Linked DNA regions of Oryctolagus cuniculus. The protein of the gene in region 1 purifies or fractionates together with the protein of each later gene. This does not show direct contact. Links are inferred from orthologs where the notes say so. Each region holds a gene or a part of one and is shown in the gene's direction. Other genes may lie near its edges.

Evidence for each region.
Region 2: the proteins of DDB2 (region 1) and COPS7A purify together in Homo sapiens (affinity purification with mass spectrometry; 5 studies listed by BioGRID and IntAct, counting the BioPlex papers as one, with this or other methods). This does not show direct contact. The link is inferred for Oryctolagus cuniculus from reciprocal best matches to the Homo sapiens genes DDB2 and COPS7A.
Region 3: the proteins of DDB2 (region 1) and CCT2 purify together in Homo sapiens (co-immunoprecipitation; 3 studies listed by BioGRID and IntAct, counting the BioPlex papers as one, with this or other methods). This does not show direct contact. The link is inferred for Oryctolagus cuniculus from reciprocal best matches to the Homo sapiens genes DDB2 and CCT2.
Region 4: the proteins of DDB2 (region 1) and CUL4B purify together in Homo sapiens (affinity purification with mass spectrometry; 11 studies listed by BioGRID and IntAct, counting the BioPlex papers as one, with this or other methods). This does not show direct contact. The link is inferred for Oryctolagus cuniculus from reciprocal best matches to the Homo sapiens genes DDB2 and CUL4B.
Region 5: the proteins of DDB2 (region 1) and COPS6 purify together in Homo sapiens (affinity purification with mass spectrometry; 8 studies listed by BioGRID and IntAct, counting the BioPlex papers as one, with this or other methods). This does not show direct contact. The link is inferred for Oryctolagus cuniculus from reciprocal best matches to the Homo sapiens genes DDB2 and COPS6.

The regions. Positions count from the first base shown.
Region 1 is NC_091432.1:18,715,898-18,720,463, reverse strand, and holds part of DDB2 (DNA damage-binding protein 2), read left to right. Parts: intron 1-1,625; coding exon 1,626-1,771; intron 1,772-2,946; coding exon 2,947-3,046; intron 3,047-3,134; coding exon 3,135-3,312; intron 3,313-3,568; coding exon 3,569-3,711; intron 3,712-4,566.
Region 2 is NC_091440.1:102,792,818-102,796,790, reverse strand, and holds the start of COPS7A (COP9 signalosome complex subunit 7a), read left to right. Parts: upstream 1-1,173; 5' UTR 1,174-1,541; exon of another isoform or gene 1,542-1,705; intron 1,706-1,997; 5' UTR 1,998-2,039; coding exon 2,040-2,201; intron 2,202-3,710; coding exon 3,711-3,786; intron 3,787-3,973.
Region 3 is NC_091442.1:72,139,105-72,143,194, forward strand, and holds the start of CCT2 (T-complex protein 1 subunit beta), read left to right. Parts: upstream 1-1,290; 5' UTR 1,291-1,372; coding exon 1,373-1,375; intron 1,376-1,702; exon of another isoform or gene 1,703-1,862; intron 1,863-2,075; coding exon 2,076-2,150; intron 2,151-2,248; coding exon 2,249-2,314; intron 2,315-2,662; coding exon 2,663-2,774; intron 2,775-4,090. UniProt on the Homo sapiens protein: Component of the chaperonin-containing T-complex (TRiC), a molecular chaperone complex that assists the folding of actin, tubulin and other proteins upon ATP hydrolysis.
Region 4 is NC_091453.1:98,287,594-98,291,886, reverse strand, and holds the start of CUL4B (cullin-4B), read left to right. Parts: upstream 1-1,493; 5' UTR 1,494-1,582; coding exon 1,583-1,688; intron 1,689-2,339; coding exon 2,340-2,879; intron 2,880-4,293.
Region 5 is NC_091450.1:42,358,141-42,362,425, forward strand, and holds the start of COPS6 (COP9 signalosome complex subunit 6), read left to right. Parts: upstream 1-1,485; 5' UTR 1,486-1,543; coding exon 1,544-1,610; intron 1,611-1,819; coding exon 1,820-1,945; intron 1,946-2,136; coding exon 2,137-2,268; intron 2,269-2,517; coding exon 2,518-2,606; intron 2,607-2,706; coding exon 2,707-2,769; intron 2,770-3,059; coding exon 3,060-3,107; intron 3,108-3,192; coding exon 3,193-3,307; intron 3,308-3,391; coding exon 3,392-3,484; intron 3,485-3,564; coding exon 3,565-3,665; intron 3,666-3,758; coding exon 3,759-3,899; 3' UTR 3,900-4,285. UniProt on the Homo sapiens protein: Component of the COP9 signalosome complex (CSN), a complex involved in various cellular and developmental processes.

The DNA.
Region 1 (4,566 bases):
CCCCTGTACCCACGTGGGAGACCCAGAGAAGGCTCCTGGTTCCTGGCTTCGGATCAGCGCAGCTCCAGCTGTTGTGGCCATCTGGGGAGTGAACCAGCGGATGGAAGACCTCTCTCTCTGTCTCTACCTCTCTCTGTAACTCTTTCAAATAAATAAAATAAATCTTAAAAAAAAAAAAAAAACTCGTTAAAAAAAAAAAGAGTGGTATCTCTTCCTCTTTTTCATCTTCTTCCTCCTCCCTTTCCTTCCTGAACAGTCGAAACCAGAAGTCATTAAATGGTAGACTCAAGCAGGACCAGTATTTACATAGTGGGGAGGCCTCGGTGGTCTGGTGGCAGCCGAGACGGACATCAGTGCGGGTGGTGGCAGGTGGCAGCTCAGCAAAGATTCAGGGCTCCCAGACTGGGTGACAGGTAGAGGGAAGGTGGTGGTGGACCGGCATGGAGTAGTGGAGGCTGATCCAGCGGCGAGAACAGATTGTCTTACAAGCAGCAAGTCTTGGTAGGCTGTGAGCACTGATGCCGATGGTGTTAGAGGGATGGAACCTGTTGACGTGGTTGTTGGATAGGAGACCTTGCCCAGGTCTATGAGGCCAGGGTAGCATAAAGAGGAGTGAAGGAGCTCTGAGAGAGTGAAGTGTTTAACAAAACAGTGTGTGGGATATAATAAGTACTTACTGTGGCCCAGCCATTGGTAGTGTGGTTGTTTTCGTCTTCCTTGTCTGCAAAAGCAGGAAGGGGGACGGATCTGACTCTTGCCCTCCTTATCCTGCCGCCAGTGCGAGCTGAAGCTCTTCCAGAAAGAGCGCGTGGGAGCGGCACCCTGGCACAGCCGTGCCGCACTGCGCTGCCTCAGCAACCAGTGGCAGGGGCTCCGAGGCCGCACACTATGCACGCATTTCTTTCTTTCTTTCTTTCTTTTCTTCAGATTTTATTTTTTATTTATTTGAAAGGCAGAGTTACAGAGAGAGGGGAGACAGATCCTTCCATTTGCTGGCTCCCTCCCCAAATGGCCACGATGGCCAGGGCTGGGCCAGGTGGAAGCCAGGAGCCAGTAGCTTCTCCCAGGTGTCCACATGGGTGCAGGGGCCCAGGCACTTGGGCCATCCTCTGCCGCTTCCCTGGGCGCATTAGCAGGGAGCTGGATCAGAAATAGAGCAGCCGGGTCTCGAACCGGCGTCCAGATGGGATGCCAGTGTTGCAGGCGGAGGCTCACCGTGCTATGCCACAACACCGACCCTGGGACTTGTCTGTGATATTCTGTGCAGGCAGCTCTAGTGTTGGGGAACAGATCAGTGGGTGCCAGAGGTTTTGGGGTGAGGGGGAGAGTGTGACTACAGTGGGAAAGCAGAGCACTAGGGAGTTTTGGGGGTGATAGTGTGTTCTACATCCTGATTTTGGTGTTGGTTATTCAAATCTGTACATGGGTTAAAATTCATAGATCTGTATACCAAAAGTAGTATTTATTGTGTGTGAATTTTAAAAAGCACACTGTGGAGACAGCACCTTGGGGTCTGGGTGTCGGGACCGACTGGCGTTTGTGTCAAAGCACAGTCCACGTGCCCAGGCCTGGTTCCTCGCTTCCGGCCCCTCATCACTCACTGGCTTTTTCCTTCCTCGTGTTAGATTGGAGCTGGAGGGAGCATCACTGGGCTGAAGTTTAACCTTCTCAATACCAACCAGTTTTTCGCCTCCTCAATGGAGGGAACAACTAGGCTGCAAGACTTTACAGGCAACACCCTCCGAGTTTTTACCAGCTCAGACACCTGCAAGTGAGTAGCCGAACTAGCATGGCAAGGGCTTCCAGCTCCAGGTGTAGTCCTGGCGAGAGCATCCTGACCCCGCTTCTGTTACCTGCACCTGGCCAGGAGGAACGAGAAGGCGTTCGCCACTTTCCACCCTTCCCTCCCTTTTTCAAACTCTGGCTACTCTGACTGCCGTCCAGGTGGGCTCCTGCTTTGGGAAGGTGTTCTGGAGCCTCGGCTCTTCTCGGCTTTTCTCTAAGTCACACCTGTGTTAGGCTCGACCTTGGCTCTCACGAGACAAGTCAACGTGGTGGTGGCCCAGGGTGGAGCAGGCACTTAGGACTTCAGACGCAATTCCTTCTGTTCGTTGGCGGGTGAGGAACTCACCAGTTCCTTGGTGGAAGCTTCAGTGGATCCAGTAGTGTCCAAAAAGTGCTCCGGGCTCCCCAAGAGCAAGGGGCTGGAGGAATTAAAAATGCAGGTCCCTCCGCGTTCTAGCCAGAGACCCAAGTCTACCTGCTCCCTAAGGAGTTAGGTGAGGGGCGGGGTCTGACAGCTAGCACTGGGTTTCCTGGGCTGCCCCACAGGGACAGGTGACTGGCTAGACTCAGCTCCATGTTGGTCTTCCACAAGAAACCCTCTCGCTTAAAGATCCTGAAGGGGAACGACCAAAAGGCAGACTAGCGTGGCTCTGAGGGTTTAGGGGAACAGATGTGCATCTGGGCTGCAGGTCGTGTGTGCTTTACCCTAACTGCTCAGAAGGGGGCAGACATTTCTTTCCGGCCAGCTCTGAGTAGCACAGCGGGGCAGTTTCTGCTTGGCGTGTCTTCTCCTTTAGCCCCAAGGTGGAGAGGGAAGGCAGAGAAAGGAGACCGAGGTTCTAGCAGCTGTGGGGCCCAGCTAGCCAGGAGGCTTGCCTTAGGGCCCGAGGTCTCACTGCGTCTGGGACTCTCCCTGGCTCAGGACGCTAGGCCCGGCAGAGACTGGACACATTTTGGAGCCCCCCTCACCCTCATTCCCTCTGTTTGGCTGGTAGACAAGACTGAGTGTTCTTCCTGGGAATCCATGGTAAGACAGATACTTCATTCATTCAACAAATATTTATTGAGCGCCTGCCGCGGGTTAGGCCCAGGAGCTGCAGCAGTGAGTTAAAGGACCTGTCTCTGGCCCCAGGAATCTCACAGTACAGTCTCTCCTTCCAGCGTGTGGTTTTGCAGCCTGGACGTGTCTGCCAGAAGCCGAGTGGTGGTCACAGGAGACAACATGGGGCATGTGTTCCTGCTGAACATGGACGGTAAAGAGGTGCGTGCTCTGAGCCCTGGGCGCGCCTTCCCTCCCCTCCCCCCACCTCAGTTCTCTGTCCCCAGCTGAGCCGGGCTCTCCTCTGCAGCTCTGGAATCTCCGAATGCACAAAAAGAAAGTGACCCATGTGGCTCTGAACCCGAGCTGCGATTGGTTACTGGCCACAGCCTCCGTAGACCAAACAGTGAAAATCTGGGACCTGCGCCAGGTTAGAGGGAAAGCCAGCTTCCTCTGCTCGCTGCCACACAAGCATCCTGTCAACTCAGGTGTGAACCCCACCTGTCTCAACACTCCGGGGCCTCCTGGGAAGTTTGGAAGCTGCTAGGCCGACCCTTTCTCCCCAGTGTCTCAGATCTCCTGTGGGCTACTGAGTTTCTAGAATTCTTCTGCTCACAGCCCTGGTTCACCTCTGCCCTTTCCCCCCATCTCAGAGGTGTCAGAGGGAGGGCGCCCCCGCGAGAAGCGGCCCGACGGGGGCGGGGCTTCCGGTTTCTGCAGCTTAGGTGCTTGTCACTTCCCCAGCCTGCTTCAGTCCTGACGGAGCCCGGCTCCTGACCACGGATCAGAAGAATGAGCTCCGGATTTACTCTGCCTCCCAGTGGGACTGCCCCGTGGGCCTCATCCTGCATCCTCACCGGCACTTCCAGCACCTCACTCCCATCAAGGTGAGTGACAGAGTGACGAGAACGCGCAGAGGGAGTGGAGAGCGTGGGGACGGACCAGGTCTGCCCAAGGTGGGGAGGGGGCAGGCGTGTGAGCCTGCAGCTCCAGACCTCTTCTTGCCCCAGCAGACAGTCTCTCAGCCTTTCGGCGCTCTCTGTTCCTTTTATGCCACGTTTGCAAGTCCAGTTGGTGGGGCCGTCTTTGTCTCTCTGAGAAGCTGTCTCCCTCAGGAGTTTCAGCCCAGCCCTGACCTGTGAGCATGTGCAGAATGCTGAGCTTCTGCCCTGCCCTCTCGGTTTCAGTTACCCGTGTGTGTGGGTCCACAAACTAACCTTCACCTTCTTAGTTTGTCTTGCAGGTTTAGGTGGCTTCTAATAATAGAAATAAGTCCCTTCCTTTCCCATTTTGGATCTCCGTTTCCTCATCTGTAAAAAGGGAATAATAGTATCTAACTGATAGGGTTGTTGTGAGGATGAATCAGTGTACTTAAAGCACTTGGCACCATGCCTAGCACCGGGTGAGTACTCAGAAAATGATGACCGCTTAGTACCGCACGTACCTCAAATCATATCCAAGCACCTACTAAGGAATCCCAAGAATCCTTCCTCAGCTGGTGTTCTTGTTAATCCATCTGTCCTGATCTGCCGCCTCGTATCCAGCCAGGCCAACCCGCCGTCTGTGATTAGTGGTACCATTTCTTCCTTCCTGCTAACCACATCTTTGCTCCTTCAAAACTTCCTTGAGAAATTGTATCAGGAAAATCCCATCCAATTTGTGATTTCTGGATGAGTGGGGTAGGCTGGGCTACTGGAGTTCCTTTCCTTTTTCAGTCTTGAGTGATTTTACACACAGCTCCT
Region 2 (3,973 bases), on another chromosome or scaffold:
GCTGCAGCTCCGGACATTGCGGCCAATTGGGGAGTGAACCAGCTGTAGTATTTTGTTATGCCTTTGACTCCTTCTCACTTCCGTTTTCTCTCTTCCACTCACTTCTCCTCCCCTCCCCCTCCTTCCTGCTCTCTCTCCCTTCTGTGTTTATGCTTCGCATTTTTCTACCACAAACCAAGGGATAATGACCATAAGCTCTTTATTTTTTTAAAAAAGGTTTATTTATGTATTTGAAAGGGAGAGTTACAGAAAGGCAGAGGCAGAGAAAGAGGGGAAAGTCTTCCATCCTCTGGTTCACTCGCCCAGTGACCACAACGGCCTGAGCAGGGCCAATCTGAGCCATCTGAGCCAGGAGCCAGGAGCCTCTTCTGGGTCTCCCGCGTGGGTGGTTGCACTTGGGCCATTGCCTACTGCTTTCCCAGGCCATAGCAGAGAGCTGGATCAGAAGTGGAGCAGCCGGCGTTGGAACCGGAGCGCATATGGGATGCTGGCACTGCAGGCGGCGGCTTTGCCCACCACACCACAGCAGCAGCCCCATAAGCTCTAGTATTTAAACCCTTCAGCCCTAGCGGCCCACCAGTCCTAGGATTTTGTCTGGTTTTGCACTTTCTCATCTTTCCCCTTCTTGTGCGTTACTTAACTCGGCTGGTCCTCAGTTTTTCCATCTGCAAAGTGGAGATAACTACTAGATTGTTGTGAGAATCGAATGAATTAGGTAAAGCTCATAGTTCAGTGCTTAATATAACAAGCAGCCTCTAAATTTTTTAAAGTGTCAGAGGTGACGTGGAGAGATGATTTTGAATTCAAAAAGACCTAAATTCCAAGTTAATCTGATTTTTACGAGCCTCAACTTACTTATGTAAAAATAGGAAAGATGACATTCGGCTCTCTTCCACCTAGGGTTTTCTCCCTCTCGCCTCTTGAATTAAGTCAGTGAGCCAGAAACATCACTGAGTACATGACGTCATCACGGTAGGGGAGTCCAGGAGTCAAACGGGGTGCAGAACAGCTGTCCGCACGCACAAGTGATAAAGATGCCTGCTATCTCTCCTGCTCCTCCAACAGGTGAGCGGTTGGCCTCCCCACGTGCTCTCGGCCGCAGAGCTTCTACGATTGCCTACTGTTTCCTCCTCCACCTCCCTGTCTCCTGCCATCACCGTTTTCCTCTCGCCCCGGCCACGCGGCGCTGCCCGGATGCCCAGACCGCCAACCACAGCCAGGGACCAGGGGTCCCCTCGGTATTCAGTCCCTAGCAGTCTTCCACTCATAAAGTTTTATTGAAACAGAGCAGAAAAAAAGGCTCCCGTCATTCTTTCCCCGGCAACCAATCCAAAGAGCAGGCTCTCGGCGGCCGGCGGGGCGGGGCGGGGCGCGTCTCCTCCGACACCTGCGTCGCCGGAGCGGAAGTACGGCCGGAAGCCGGCCATCGAGTTCAGTGGCCAGAGCGGCCCTGCAGGGAGGTGGCAGGAAAGGCTTGGAACAGCTGCCGGAGGTGACGGAACGACGGCCCCGCCCGGTGCGCTGGAAGACGAAGCTTCCAGGTAGTGGCCCGCAGAGTCTGGCCCAGGGTACGACGGGACAGTCGGCGGGAGCCCATGGTCCCTGGGCGGCCTCTTTAAGGGAGGAGGTGGAGCCACGTGTAAGGATCGTGGGGGTGAGGTCACGTGGTTGGGGGCACGTGTGGGAGCGAGTGGAGAACCGAGGGGTGCGTTGTCGTTGGGGTGCATGACCTGTGACCCCAGCCGTCGCCGCGCTGCATCCTGTGCCTTGGGGTTCACGTGGTGTGCCTTGGGAGTTAGTCCCAGGGGCAGGGGGAGAGGGTGGGCGTGGCAGCCCTGTGAGGCGGCTGCCTTTAGGGTCCACGTTCCCCACTGCTCCTGCTCCGATTCCTCCCTGCAGAAATGGCTTGTTGCTTCTACGGTCCGGCCCCTTGCCCTCGCCTTTGCCATCCCGCCAGTGCTCAGGGACCTGCAGTTTCACGTCCTCTTTCCTTGCAGCTCCAGACATCCTGAGCCCAGGTCCCCCAGCTCAGTACAGCCATGAGTGCGGAGGTGAAGGTGACAGGGCAGAACCAGGAGCAGTTTTTGCTGCTGGCCAAGTCGGCTAAGGGGGCAGCGCTGGCCACACTCATCCACCAGGTGTTGGAGGCCCCTGGTGTCTACGTATTTGGGGAACTGCTGGATATGCCTAATGTTAGAGAGGTGGGTTGCTGGCCTGGGTAGCCCCTCAGGGAAGCATGGGGCATAAGTCTGGCTTTGAGAATGGACTCATTTCGCAACCCCACGAAACCATTTTGTTGAACAAGAACACAGTGATGATTAACTGGCGCGTTGCAAAAGTAAATAATAAGCAAATAAACGTCTTAGTTTGTCTGTCGTTGTAACAGAAAATGCAGTATTTACATTTGTAAGCAAAAGAGCATGTCATTGCAAATAGGAAGGTTGGGTTCCAGTCTGTCCCCCCCAGTGTAATACCTCCTGACAATCGGGGCGTCTCGTTGAGGGCCTCGGTTTCCTCTTTTAAAGATGGAGATGATACTTTTCTCGACGGTCACTGTAGGAATCCAGTAAGATCATGGGAAAGTGTTAGGTCTGATGCAGATGGAATGAACAGGTTAAATTAGCAGACAGTACTCTCCCTGGGCAGCCTGTGCTAATGCACCTGAGAAAGGAAAGAAAGGAGGTGTCTTTTCCCCCCAGAGACACATGGCAGACTGTTGGAACACAGCAGAGACTTTCACACAGAAGTGGCAAGGTTCAAAGTCCAGGGCGGATGAGTCACCAAGATGTGTGATCCCCACCCATGCCCTGAGACGCTGTGACAGCAATGTGTAGGTAAACTGTTAGCCAGTTTGTGAGGGCTTGTGATTGAGTCAGTGGATATGGCTTTTTGAGGTCACTGTGATATGGAAAAAATTGGGGCTTTTTTCCCCTTACTTTCATCTGCAGTGGGTCCAAAAAAGTATCCGTTAAGGGGAACACAGAGAAGCACTGAGTGCCCGTGTGGCCCTCTGCTGGTGTTCAGTACCAAACAGGAGTCTTAGGAACCAGTGGAAGAGATGAGATGATGGATAGTGCCATATAAATCATTGGTTCAGCAAGCATGTACTGAAGGGCTGACCACACGCAGAGGTCTGTTTTCTCTTAGAGGGATACCAGACTTGGTCTGGAATCCTATTGAAAGAGATTCTAATTTCAGACCCTTCTGCAGGGATTGATGGCTTAAATGCCCAAATGAGTGATCAGATAGAAGAGGAGGTATGGGTAGGCTGGACTGGGTGATGGAAGACCACCTCCCACCGATGCAGGGCTGCGACAGAGACCACAGCTCAGATGCCTGTTGGGTGTGCAGCTGTCAACAAGGGACTCTGGTGAACGGAGGGGTCGGAGACGACTGCAGAGGGATGCTCAGATTCAGGAAGGGCAGACACGCCCACAGCCAGACAGTACAGCTGGCCGCTTCTGGTGGCTGTGTCTTACAGTTGGAACACTGAATGTTTTCAACCTTGAGTTTACTGGAGGGTGTGTATGCATTGGGAAATAGTCCAAGCAAAGGTGGAAATGAGCCCTACCTGTGAGGAGAGTGATCAGAGAGCCCCTCTTGGTGAGCTGGGGGGAGGGGCGACATTTTCCAGGAAAGGTGGGGCTGGAAAGAGTGAGGGTGTCGAGGGAAGCCCTTGCCATCACCACGTCTCTTGCCTCACCTTGCAGCTCGCCGAAAGTGACTTTGCTTCCACGTTCCGGCTGCTCACCGTGTTTGCTTATGGGACGTACGCTGACTACTTAGGTAACCAGGGGGGCTGGAGCTGTGCAGTGATGGGAGTGGAAGAAGGGCGGTTTTTGGAGGCACTTTAAGAGAAAATTCCTGGGATACCCCACATAGGTCCCCTGGGTGCACAGTTTCAGGGTCAAGACCTGAATCAGATTGAAAAACTCAGAACAAAACAAAAAACAAGGGTGAAGGAAGTGTAGGC
Region 3 (4,090 bases), on another chromosome or scaffold:
AAAATTTTTAAAAAGATTTTATGTATTTGAATGGCAGAGTTACAGAAAAGGAGAGACAGAGAGAAAGATAAATCTTCCATCCACTGGTTCACTCCTCAATTGGCCACAACAGCCAGAACAATGCTGATCTGAAGCCAGGGGTTTCTTCTGGGTCTGCCATGCGGGTGAAGGGGCCTAAGGATTTGGGCCATCTTCTACTGCTTTCTCAGGCCATAGCAGAGAGCTGGTTTGGAAGCAGAGCAGCCCAGACTCCAACCGTGGCCCATATGGGATGCTGGCACTGCAGATGGCGACTTTACTCACTACGCCACAGCGCCAGCCCCCTAATTATTTTTTTAAAACACAAAGTTTTGCTTTAGACATCTTAGAGGGGCCAAATAAAATAGAAATTTGTTTTTTAAGATTTATTTATTTACTTGAGGCAGAGATACAGAGAGGCAGAAGCAGAGAGTCTTCTATCCATTGGTTCACTGCCCAGATGGCTGCAATGAAGGTAATTGCGCCGACTGGGAAGCCAGGAGCCAGGAGCCTCCTCCGGGTCTCCCACAGACTTGGGTCATCTTCTTCTGCTTTCCCAGGCCGTAGCAGGGAGCTGGATCAGAAGTGGAGCAGCTGGGACTTGAACCAGCGCCCATATGGGATGCCGGCACTTCAGGTGTCGGCTTTACCTGCTACTCCACAGCGTTGACCCTGAAAAGTTTTTTAAATAAAAGAATTATTTGGGATTGATTGTAATCCCTCCTGATCATGTAAAGGTAGAAAAAAATATAATATGCAAACCTGAAAATGAGCAAACAGGGGAGTTCAAATGACTGTGTCTTTCTGGACTGTGTAAATCCAATTTGAAACAGCTTTTTAAGATTCTACAAAAGCAAAGGGAGTTTCCCTCTGTAATGCTCAACAATGTTTAAAATAAAAGAGAATAAAGCAAAAATATCATTCACGAATATGACAAATAAAAGAAACTGGGAAGCCGGAAGAGGTTGCCCACCATAAGAGCATGGGATGTGAGGAATGCTTTTTGCTTAGTAGTATATAGCTGTGTATATATGTGCTTTTAACACAAATTAAGTATTAAATTTAAGACAAAATACGGGCACAAACTCCGTGGCATGGCAACCGAAACAGGGCGGCAATTCTTTGTTTCTGCGAATCCGCCAGGCCATTCTTTCAGACGAGAGCCGGCGGCGCCGCAGGGGGCGGGAGCGCGAGCCCAGGCCCCGCCCCACGGCGTAGGGCTCATTTCCGGTCTCGTAGAGCCGGGGCCCTGCCCTCGCGATAGAGCGTGTGGCGTCACTTCCGGCTTCTCTTCGCTGCTGGCTCCGGGCGCGGGCTGTGAGGGAATCGCTCGTGTCCCGAGTTCCTCGGAACCATGGTGAGTCTGACCTCTTTCCTGTCCCTTCGCAACCCCGGCCGTGCCCCGCTATGCCTTGCCGCCCCCCTGCTCTTTCTGGCCTCCCAGCGTCGCAGGCTCCCCGAGCCGGCCTCCTGGGCCCGCCGCACATGGCGCGGGCCGCGCGTGTGGCCCGCGCGGGGCCAGCCAGTGGAGCCGTCCATGCAGGCCAGGCGGAGAAGTGGTTCCGTAAGGCCAATGTCTGGTCAGACTCGGCCTTTCCACAAGCCCGAGCCCGGGACCCCGAAACGTGGGCCTCAGCCTCGCCGGAGAAATTTCTAGCGCCTCGCCGGCCCCGCCCTCCCCCTCGGGGCGGGGTTTGGGGCGGCGGGGAAGGAGCCGCCCGAGGGTAAAAGATGGAGGCTGCCTCCCCGGCGGGCGTCCGGCTCGTGTCCCCCAACCTTTGCGGGCCTTGTTCTTGTTTTAAGATCGTCTTTGGTCTTGCCCTGCTCGGTAGTCCGCCTCTCGGGTGTGTAATTTTTATTCCTGGCGTGCTTGTTACCCAAAACGGCACAGTACCTTTCTGATCCCGCCTCTCTTGGAAGCTGAATTTGTTTGCAATCGCCGTATTGTAAATGAATGTTCTCTTAGATACCTGCTTGTAAATCCAGTGGAAGGCATGTAAATATATGTGTTCCAGAGTTGTTGTTCAAACTGATTGTTTCTTGGTTTTCCTCTGAAGGCGTCCCTTTCCCTTGCGCCTGTTAACATCTTCAAAGCTGGAGCTGATGAAGAAAGAGCGGAGACAGCTCGTCTGGTAAACCCTTTTCTGACGTTCTTACTGTTTGAGAGGTAAAGTTGTTCTTTAAGGCTAAAATGAATTCTCACAATCTCTGATTTTTTTTTTTACTCCAGTCGTCTTTCATTGGTGCCATCGCCATTGGAGACTTGGTAAAGAGCACCTTGGGACCCAAGGGCATGGTAAGGAAAAGAGGGAATTTTCTTTTCGTAGTTTTAATATTATTTTAGACCTCTTAATATCCCAAGTTTTAATTATAAAAGTAAGATGAATGTATCCAAGTCCTATTGGATATTAAATGGCAATCACTGTTTCTGCTCTTAAGGGTGCTGAAACCCAGATTGTCTCTCTCTGTGCTTCTAGGGGTAGAGATACCAAGGTTTGCTTGCGGAGTATACATTATAAACTTGCATACTGCCAAGTAGTCACCCAGAGTGTTTACACGTTAGCAGTATTTGGAGTACTGATTGATCTGGGTGCTCTTCAAGGTCCATTTATATTTTAATTTGAACCCAATATGTTTTATTTAGGACAAAATTCTTCTAAGCAGTGGACGAGAAGCCTCTCTTATGGTAACTAATGACGGTGCCACTATTCTGAAAAACATTGGTGTTGACAATCCAGCTGCTAAAGTTTTAGTTGGTGAGTCGTTGTTAAATTTCTGAATTAATTTATTCTTCTTCGATAGGCTTAACTGTACTTGTTAATTGACTTATACCACTCTTAAAATTACTGTTAATAAAAGGTTCAGGAGTACCATATAATTATTGGTAGGTGTCTTAGTCTCTTTAGCGTTGCTGTGAGAATAGCGCAGACTAGGAAATCCACAAACAATGAAAGTTGTTTGGCTCCCAGTTCTGGAGGCTGAGAAGCCCAGGATTTAGGGGTCACACTTGGTAAGGGCAAGGCATTCTTGCTGTGTTACAACATGGTGGGAAGGCATCACATGGATGAGTGTGTCTGTGCTGGAGGGGAAAGGGGCCTGAACTCATCCTTTCATCTTGACCCAGTCCTGAGATAATGGCAGTCCCTTTATTAGAGCAGAGCCCTCGTGACCTAATCTAAGGGTCCCACCTCAACATGGCTATACTGGAAATTAAGTTTTTTTTGTTTTAAAGATCTATTGATTGATCTGAAAGGCAGAGATCTTCCTTCCACTGGTTCACTCCCCAAATGGCCACAGTGATCAGGGCTGGGCCAGAGGGGAGCCAGAAGCTTCATCTGAGTCTTAGTACAGGGACCTAAGTACATGGGCCTTCTGCAGCTTTCTCAGGCACATCAGCCGGGAGCTGGGTCAGATGTGGAACAACTCTCTGGCTCTGGGAATAAATTTTCTGACACCTAAACCTGGGCCGGCACTGTAGTATAGCAGGTAAAGCCACCGTCTGCAGTGCTGGCATCCCATATGGGCATTGGTTTCAGTCCTGGCTACCCCACTCCAATCCGGGCCCCTGCCACACACACGGGAGACCCGGAAGAAGCTCCTGGCTTTCAGTCGGCCTACCTCTGCCCATTGTGGCCATTTAGGAAGTGGGTGGCAGATCTCTCTCTCCCTCTGTGTAACTGTTTCAAATAAATATGGGGCTGGTGCCTGTGGTGCTAGCATCCCATATGGGCACCGGCTCAAGTCCTGGCTGCTCCATTTCCCCTCTAGCTCTCTGCTATGGCCTTGGAAAGCAGTAGAGGATGGCCCAAGTCCTTGTGCCCTTGCACCCGTGTGGGAGACCCAAGGAGGTTTTTGGGTCCGTGCAGCTCCAGCCGTTGCTATGGAATGAGCCCCCGTGGATGGAAGACTTCTCTCTCTGCCTCTGTCTGTAACTTTCTTTCAAATAAATAAATCTTAAAAAATAAATTTATTTAAAAAAATAAATAACATATGAACTTTGGGAGATATATTTGAACTGTGGCAGTAGTAAAATATTTTAGATCTCAGAGTTGTCAGGTGAGGAACATAGATA
Region 4 (4,293 bases), on another chromosome or scaffold:
CTAACATAACCTACAGGATAGATTCCAAAATTCTTGGCTTGGTTTACTAGGCACTTTTGAGCCTCATCTTTCTTAGTCCCAACCAGACATCCTGTTTTCCAGTCTCACTGCAGTTGCCATGTTTCCATAAACATGCCAGGCCCTTTCACAACTCCCTGCTTTGTGCATGTTTCCACTGCCCAGAATGCCTTTCACTCTCTTCCTTGTCTTATTGGCAGCTCCCACTTTGAGACTCAGCACAAATGTGTCTCTCAAACTCCCTGATTTTTCCAGAGTTCCTTCAAATTTCTTGTTTTGCCTCTTGCCACAGCACTTTGTACATTTGTTAAAAGTACTTTTATGGACATTAATTTTGAAACTAGAAGAGTACTTAAAAAATTTATGGAAAATGCATACTATGTGGAAACCATTCATGAATTTTGAAATTTTTCTGTTTGCCCAAATAAATTTATCTTTTAATCCCATTTTTTTTATGAGCTTTGTGTAGTACCCTTCTGTCTTCCCCCACTGGCTTCTCAATGGCAGGGACTTGGCATAGTGTCTGGCACATAAAGTCTCCGGATACATGTTCATTAAAAGTTTCTGTAGTTAGATCAACAGGTTGAAAAAATTATTGTTTGCTCCCCCTGAGAGTGTTCTACGGTTAAAAACTACCTTAGGGAACTTACAGGGTTTGTTATTGTTAATTTAACCAAACATCAAGTTTTGTTTGATCGGCGATCAAATTTAAAGTTTTTGCTCCTGGAATACATTAGTAGAAAACATGACTTTTGCCAATATTGTTCTCCTAAAATGTCTCCTTTGAAACACTGTAGAAGCTGAGACTTCATCAAAGGAAGTAGGTCTTAGCTTTTTGTTTGGTCTATAAATTACTGAATTCATGGCTGATGAAGTCGGGATAGCATGTGGTTCCAAGAATTGCACTGGGTCAGGACTTAGCTACCTTCCTATTTCTTTGCCTTAGAATACACCCTTGGCTCTGGCCAGCCATCTTAGAAAATGCTCCTGGTAAGAAGTAAAAGAACTTACACATACGCTATTGAGAAAAGTATCAAAACTCTGGCTCTATTCAATTTTGGCTCTGTGGTGTCCTTGACATAAATAATTTATAGCTACACTGAATCAAATTCTTTTTCTATGTAAGCTCCTTTTCTTCTAACAATATTGTAACATCAGTAGGCATAATGACAAGATTTGTTTTCTTCCATTTCGGGTTAGTCTCTTCGCCTGGCAACCCCTCCTAATTCCTTTATCTCTTTCAAAGTTTCCATTCTCTCCTTCCCTTACTTTTTACTCCTTCCCTCCCTCTCCCTTCCTCTTCCGCCTCCCCCTTTTTCCCAGCTAGCTTACCCCGCCCCTCACCGTCACCACCTTCCCTCCCCTTCAGGATCCTTCCCGCTCCTTCTCCCGTCACCCCCCACCGTGGCCGCCCGCCTCGCGTTCATAAAGCGCCAATCAGAAGCCCCGAAGGTGTTTCGAAGGCCCGCCCCCTCCTCCCTCTCCACTTCTCTTCCCCCCCTTTGCTCCCTCCCCACCCCCCACTCAAGTCCTGCGGACTCGGGGGCTTCGGGAGCTGGGCGCTATGAAAAGTGTCTGCCCAGTCACTTCCGGTAAGAACGCCGCGGCGCAAAGCTCCCCGCGGGACCGTTACGGAGGGATGGGAGTTACCGATGGGCCGGAGGAGGGAGGTACTGCCGGGGAAGGGAAGAGGGAGCGAGAGCCGGAGCAGAGTAGTGCGAGCCTCTGAGGCGCTTCAGCTGCCCCTGTCCCGCCATCCCGCTGTGCGCCAGCTCCCCTGCCCCCCTGGGCGGCTGCGGTGCTCTTCTCCAACCCCCACTCCGGGGACAGACGCCGCCCCTCCTTCGGCGCCGCGTGACCGGAAGTGGCGCCATCTTTAGCCTCTTGTGCTATTGACAATAACAAGCCCTGGGTCTCTTCTCCCCCTCCCCCCCCACCACCACAGCGTCTCCCCTCCCAGAGAGAGGGAGAAAAGGAGGAGGAGCTACAGCCTCAGACTCAGACTCGCTCCTGCAGAAACGGGGGGGAGAGAGCTCGAAAAGCAGGGGAGGGGGACGGCACGGCCGTTTACCTGTCTGCCGCTTCATTCACTCTCCCCCCTCGTTCTGCTCACTCCTGGTGTCAGCCTATCCGCCTTCCCAAACCCTCCCATTTCCCCGGTGTAGCCCCCCCTTCACTTTCCTGCTCGTCCTCTGTGTTTCTCCTCTCTTCCCTTCCCCCTCTAGCATTGCCACCTTCTCCTACACGCACGCAGGCATATAAACTGTAGGTTTTTGATGCTCCTCTGCCTGTTGACCCCGCTATTTTCATGTTTCCAACAGGTTTTTCTTCCCCCAATCCCTCAGCTGCTGCTGCTGCTCAGGAGGTCAGATCTGCCACTGATGGTAATACCAGCACCACTCCGCCCACCTCTGCCAAGAAGAGAAAGTTAAACAGCAGCAGCAGTAGCGGCAGTAACAGTAGTAACGAGAGAGAAGACTTTGATTCCACCTCTTCCTCCTCTTCCACTCCTCCTTTACAACCCAGGGATTCGGCATCCCCTTCAACCTCGTCCTTCTGCCTGGGGGTTTCGGTGGCTACTTCCAGCCACGTACCGATACAGAAGAAGCTGCGTTTTGAAGACACCCTGGAGTTTGTAGGGTTTGATGCGAAGATGGCTGAGGAATCCTCCTCCTCCTCCTCCTCATCTTCACCAACTGCTGCAACATCTCAGCAGCAGCAACTTAAAAATAAGAGTATATTAATCTCTTCTGTGGCTTCGGTGCATCATGCAAACGGCCTAGCCAAATCTACCACCGTCTCTAGCTTTGCTAACAGCAAGCCTGGCTCTGCTAAGAAGTTAGTGATCAAGAACTTTAAAGGTAACCAAAGCCAAAATTCATAATCACCTACTAAAGATTTGACACTTCAGCGGTCACGTGCTCTATTTATGTTACTATATTAAAGAGCATAGAGGTAGCTAATGTTTTATGCGTAATTAATGAGGTGGAGGGGAGGTCCTTTTTTTGGTGGAGGGTTCATTTGCCAGGGGGGTGGTTAGGAACCTTGTGCTGAGGCATACACCCCGTGTTTCTGTGCAGTATTTTGAGGTTTTCCTCAACCTGTTATATTTAATTTGTTGTCCCTTATAACATTGGGTATCTACAGTATGATTGATCCGGATTTTACAGGTGAGAAATTTATGTTCTAAAGAGGTTTGTTTATTTCAGGTGCATAGTGAGCCTTGGCACTGCTGGGATTTGTATTTTTGTGCTTCAGTAGGCCACATTATCCAGTCCCCAGAAAAGCAGGTAGCAATGGTGATCTTTCCATGCTCAAATAGGACTTAGATTGTTGAATACTGTATTTATGAAACTCATTGCAGAAGCAGTATTCAGAGAAAATATTTATGGTCTCTACATATCTTACCAAAGATAGGGGTTAGAATTGAAAAATACTGGGTATACACAGAAGTTGTAACTCTGTGTACCACTAGTCTAAAGATAGGTACAGTTACTACATCTATTTTTTTTATCACTAAAACGAGTTTTAAAGTATTGCCCTAAAGCTTTTAGGAAAATTTGTTAATATTGTCTTTGATAGGTGATTGAAAGTATTATGAACGCATTGATGCTAATACAAAATCAAGTTTTAAAAAAAATGTATTCAGCTGAATTAATTTGTATCTGTTGAATGTGTTCTATTTTTCTGGCTCACTTATTCAACACCTTTAACTGGCAGGTAATAAGTGCAAAAATGATTATTAAATGGAGAAGTAAATGAATGAACTTAAGTAATATTTACTGCATAAGTGCCTTGGGGCTTAATACTAGTATCGGAAAAATTAGGTGTTCACTATCTGTATTTTCAACATTAGTGTAAAAATAAAGAATATACTCTTTTATTTCAAGCAGAGAGATATGGTGTTGTTTATTTTTAACCCTTTCTTTTTATATCACTTCTCTCCCATTTGCAGACTCTTGAAGAGTGTTATATTCTGACTTAAGAGTAAAGCTTTCTGCTTTCTGAAGTGAATATGAATTGTAATTGACTAATGTGTTCATTATTTAGCTGAAATATTTTGCTTAATAGCCAAGATTTTTATAAGAAGTGAGCTGTGATCCTAATTGCTTCTGAAAATTGATTTAAGAAATTTTGTTTTTTTCTTCCTCCAAAAAAATTAAAACACATTATTAAGGCATTTCAATGCTTTAATTAAAAGTTTTTTTCCACTCATTGATGGCCAGTGAAGTGTAAAAGCCTAGCATTTCAGTGTTTCTTTCTATTTAGAAAATG
Region 5 (4,285 bases), on another chromosome or scaffold:
TAATAACTAGCACAATGTAAACTCTATGTAAGTAGTTACACTGTATTGTTTAGGGGATAATAACAAGGAGAAAAGGTCTGTATATGTTCAATACAAATGCTTTTTTTTTTGGTAAGTTTCTGGCTTTTTGCTTATTTTCCATCCTTAGCAACTATGCCTCTGAGTTTAAGAGCAAGAAGCTGAGGTAAACTGGCTGGAGCTGTGCCGATCCAAAGCCAGGAGCCAGGAGCTTCTTCCAGGTCTCCACGCCGGTGCAGGGTCTCAAGGACTTGGGCCATCCTCCACTGCTTTCCCAGGCCATAGCAGAGAGCTGGATCAGAAGTGGAGCAGCCGGGACTTGAACCGGCACCTGTATGGGATGCCGGCCACTGAAGGCAGGTGGGGGCACCTCTAGGCCACAGCGCCGGCCCCCCACGTGCTCTTGAACCATCACCTGCTGCCTCCCAGGGAGTGTATTCCAGGAAGCTGGATCAGAGGCAGAGCTGGGACTGCACACGCATTTTCTGATGATGCAAGTGACACAAACAGCAACTTAACTGTTGAGCCAAACACTCGCCCCGAGGAATGAGGTAAACGGTTAATTCCCGTAGGCCAGAAGTCCCCTCACCCCGCAGCGTGTCTCAAGTCCATTCCTCTGAGAACTGTGGAACTCTGTTCAGGCTCCTAAGTGGGGTGACTGCTGGATTTCCCACCACTCTCCCCGGAACACCTCCTGGGACCAGCTCACACTTGGGGGCGGCGATGCAGACACCGAAACGGCCAGCCGGACCCAAACTGTAGCGGCAGCAGGAGGGGCGGTCGGTGACCGCAACCGGCTCGGGCTTGGGGGAGCAGGGAGAGCTGGGGTGGGCTGGAGCCGGCAAGGTTGGGAGGTTGGGATGGGTGGGGGCTGTTCCCAGTGCTGCACCTAATACCAGTATTTGGAAGGAGGAAAGATAGGATATGCAGACGGAGCCGCCCAAATCCCGGCTCCACCCCAAAGTTCTGCATCCATTCACTCAAAAAAAAAAAAAAAAAAAAAAAAAAAAGGCCCCCATGTGTGTTGGTCACAGGGGTACCGGGATGAGAGACAGGACTCCCAGCCCTGTGGCTGGCAGTCAGTGAGTATGTACGGAAAACAGATACGAGGTCCTGGCCGAACCCCAGGGACCCAAGGCTGGAAAGGTGGAAGCCAGGGCCAGGCCGCCCGGCAGGCAGGGGTCAGAGCACACGGCCTCTCGGCTTGCGGTCAGCAGTCTGGATTTCATTGTGAAAGTTGCCATTGCATTCATTCTGCAACCCCCTTAAGCGCTAGCCATTCTTGTCCCAGCTTTACTGCCGGGAACGATTCAGGCGGGGCGCGCGGAGTGGACTGATCCGGCCCAGGTCGCCCGCAGGCGAGACGCGGGGGTCACGCTCCACCGAGACCGCGCCACACTCAGGGAACTGACCGCTCGCTCCCGGGCGGCCCGACGCGCGCCGCGGGGACACCGCGCATGCGCCGCTCGCCGTACGGAAGCCGGGAGGGCAGGGGGCGGGGCCGAGGCTGGCGGGCGCGGGGAAAATGGCGGCGGCGGCGGCTGCGGCGAACGGGACCGGAGGGAGCAGCGGGATGGAGGTGGATGGAGCAGGTAACGGGCTGCGCGGGGGCGACTTCTGGAGACAGCACTCAGGGGTGCGTGCAGGCCGTCTTGGACTCCCGGGGGACGTGAGGAGGGCGGTGGGATAACTTGTGGGAGCGATGTATGGCCCCGGCTCTGCCGTCCCCCGACTCCCATCTCCAGGGAAGAGCGTGGGGGTCCGGAGACTCTCACCCTCTCTCCGTCCCCTGCACCGTCAGTAGTCCCCAGCGTGATGGCCTCCGGAGTGACCGGCAGTGTTTCCGTCGCCCTCCATCCTCTCGTCATCCTGAACATCTCCGACCACTGGATCCGCATGCGCTCCCAGGAGGGGCGGCCTATGCAGGGTGAGTGTTGGGCGTGCTTCTCCGACCCCGTCCCCTCGGTAGCTCCCCGGGCCTCGTCAGCCGAAGCCAGTCCCCCTCCCCCATCACTGTTTCTGCAGCAGTCGGCCCACACGTGCCCTCAGACCCCCAGCGGGAGATCAAGTTTTGGGATTCCCTACCGTCCCCTCTCACGTCCGTTCTCTTCCCCCCAGTGGTCGGGGCTCTGATCGGGAAGCAGGAAGGCCGGAATATTGAGGTGATGAACTCCTTTGAGCTGCTGTCCCACACCGTGGAAGAGAAGATTATCATCGACAAGGAGTATTATTACACCAAGGAGGAGCAGTGTGAGAGGGGAAGCCAGTGGGGGAGAGGTGTGGGGGGTCAAAGAAAGAAAAACAAAACAAAACACAGGACCGGGGAGAAATAACCAGGAGAGGAAGCCGAGAATGGAAGAGTTAATTCACCTGAAGAGATCTCAAGACGGTATTCCCTAAAACGGTGTACAGGATGAGCGGTCAGAATAGCAGGGGTGAGGAGGGAGGGGGAGCTCGGAGGCAGGGAGGGTGGTTTAAAGAAGTACGATTGCTCTCCAGTTAAACAGGTATTCAAGGAGCTGGAGTTTCTGGGCTGGTACACCACAGGGGGGCCGCCTGACCCCTCCGACATCCACGTCCACAAGCAGGTACAGATACAGACGCTCACACCTGCGACTGGCGGGTGGGGGGCGGGGGGCGGGGAGAAGAGGGTGGGACGTCCACCTGCACGCCGGCCCTCTCCTCCAGGTGTGTGAGATCATCGAGAGCCCCCTCTTTCTGAAGTTGAACCCTATGACCAAGCACACAGACGTGAGTAGTCCTGACCTCGTGCCGTGCTTGTTTGTCGGTCCGCTGTTGCCGGTAGCACAGCTTCTTAGCAACTGGGCAGTGCTGGGGTTGAACCTCCGTTCTGCCCTTAGCAGCTGCGTGGCTTTGAGTGGCGTTTAACCTCCACATTGCTGTTTCACATGTGAAACGGGGATACTCCCTACCTCCCTGGGTTCTTGTGAAGATCGGATGGGAGGCGGTGCCCACGTGTAGCACCTAGTGGAGATTCAAGTCATTTGCTGTTCCTAAGAGCTGTTCTCTGTTCTTTACAGCTTCCTGTCAGCGTTTTTGAGTCTGTCATTGATATAATCAACGGAGAGGTAACGCCTGACCCCTCACCCCTCAGGGCCTGCTCGACGCATTTCCGATTTTGACTCTCACTGTCTGGGACACTCTGCTCCACAGGCCACGATGCTGTTTGCTGAGCTGACATACACTCTGGCCACAGAGGAAGCTGAACGCATTGGTGTTGACCATGTGGCCCGAATGACAGCCACAGGCAGTGGAGAGAACTCCACCGGTAATGGAGGGGATTCCTTGGAAGCGAGGGTGGGAGGTATGGCCAAGTGCCTTCTCACTCTCTGCCCGTGCCTGTCCCTTGCAGTGGCTGAACACCTGATAGCACAGCACAGCGCCATCAAGATGCTGCACAGCCGGGTCAAGCTCATCCTGGAGTACGTCAAGGCCTCTGAAGCAGGTAGGGCAGGCCTGTGGCGTCCACCTCCCCCCCGGCCAAGTGACAGCATCCATGTGAATGCGGTCTCTTCTTGTCTGTAGGTGAGGTCCCCTTTAACCATGAGATCCTGCGGGAGGCCTATGCTCTGTGTCACTGCCTCCCAGTGCTCAGCACAGACAAGTTCAAGACAGACTTTTACGATGTGAGTATGAAACCCGGCTGGGGAGGTTTTGCTCACAGGATGGGACTGCAAAGAGGGATGCCTGGAGAACTGGTTCTTTCTGTTCCCCTGCAGCAATGCAATGATGTGGGGCTCATGGCCTACCTCGGCACCATCACCAAAACCTGCAACACCATGAACCAGTTTGTGAACAAGTTCAACGTCCTCTATGACCGACAAGGCATTGGCAGACGGATGCGGGGCCTCTTCTTCTGAGGCCACTTGAAAGGATGCACTGGGCTCAGCGGCCTGTCCCAAGGGGAGGGGCGCGCCACTCCCTTAGAGAACCGCTGTGGTCAATAAAAGGGGATCAGCCCCTCAGCACCCCTCCCAGTGGCTCTGTCCTCTCTGTCGGGCACCAGATTTCCCAGTGGGGACCTTAGGTGAGGCCCCTTGTGCCAGCTTTGTGAGGCAGAATCTGTGTCAGCACTTGGCAGTGCACTGCCTCCTGAAGTGACCCCACAGCCAGTTGGGTGGAGGACTCAGGAGCACCCGCGATCTTTGCTCTGCGCTTTCACGTCACCCTGTGGGGTCCACCTGAGCTCAGTGCAACTGCTTTCCCCATTTAAATTAACTTCATTAAAGTTTTTCTCATACATAAA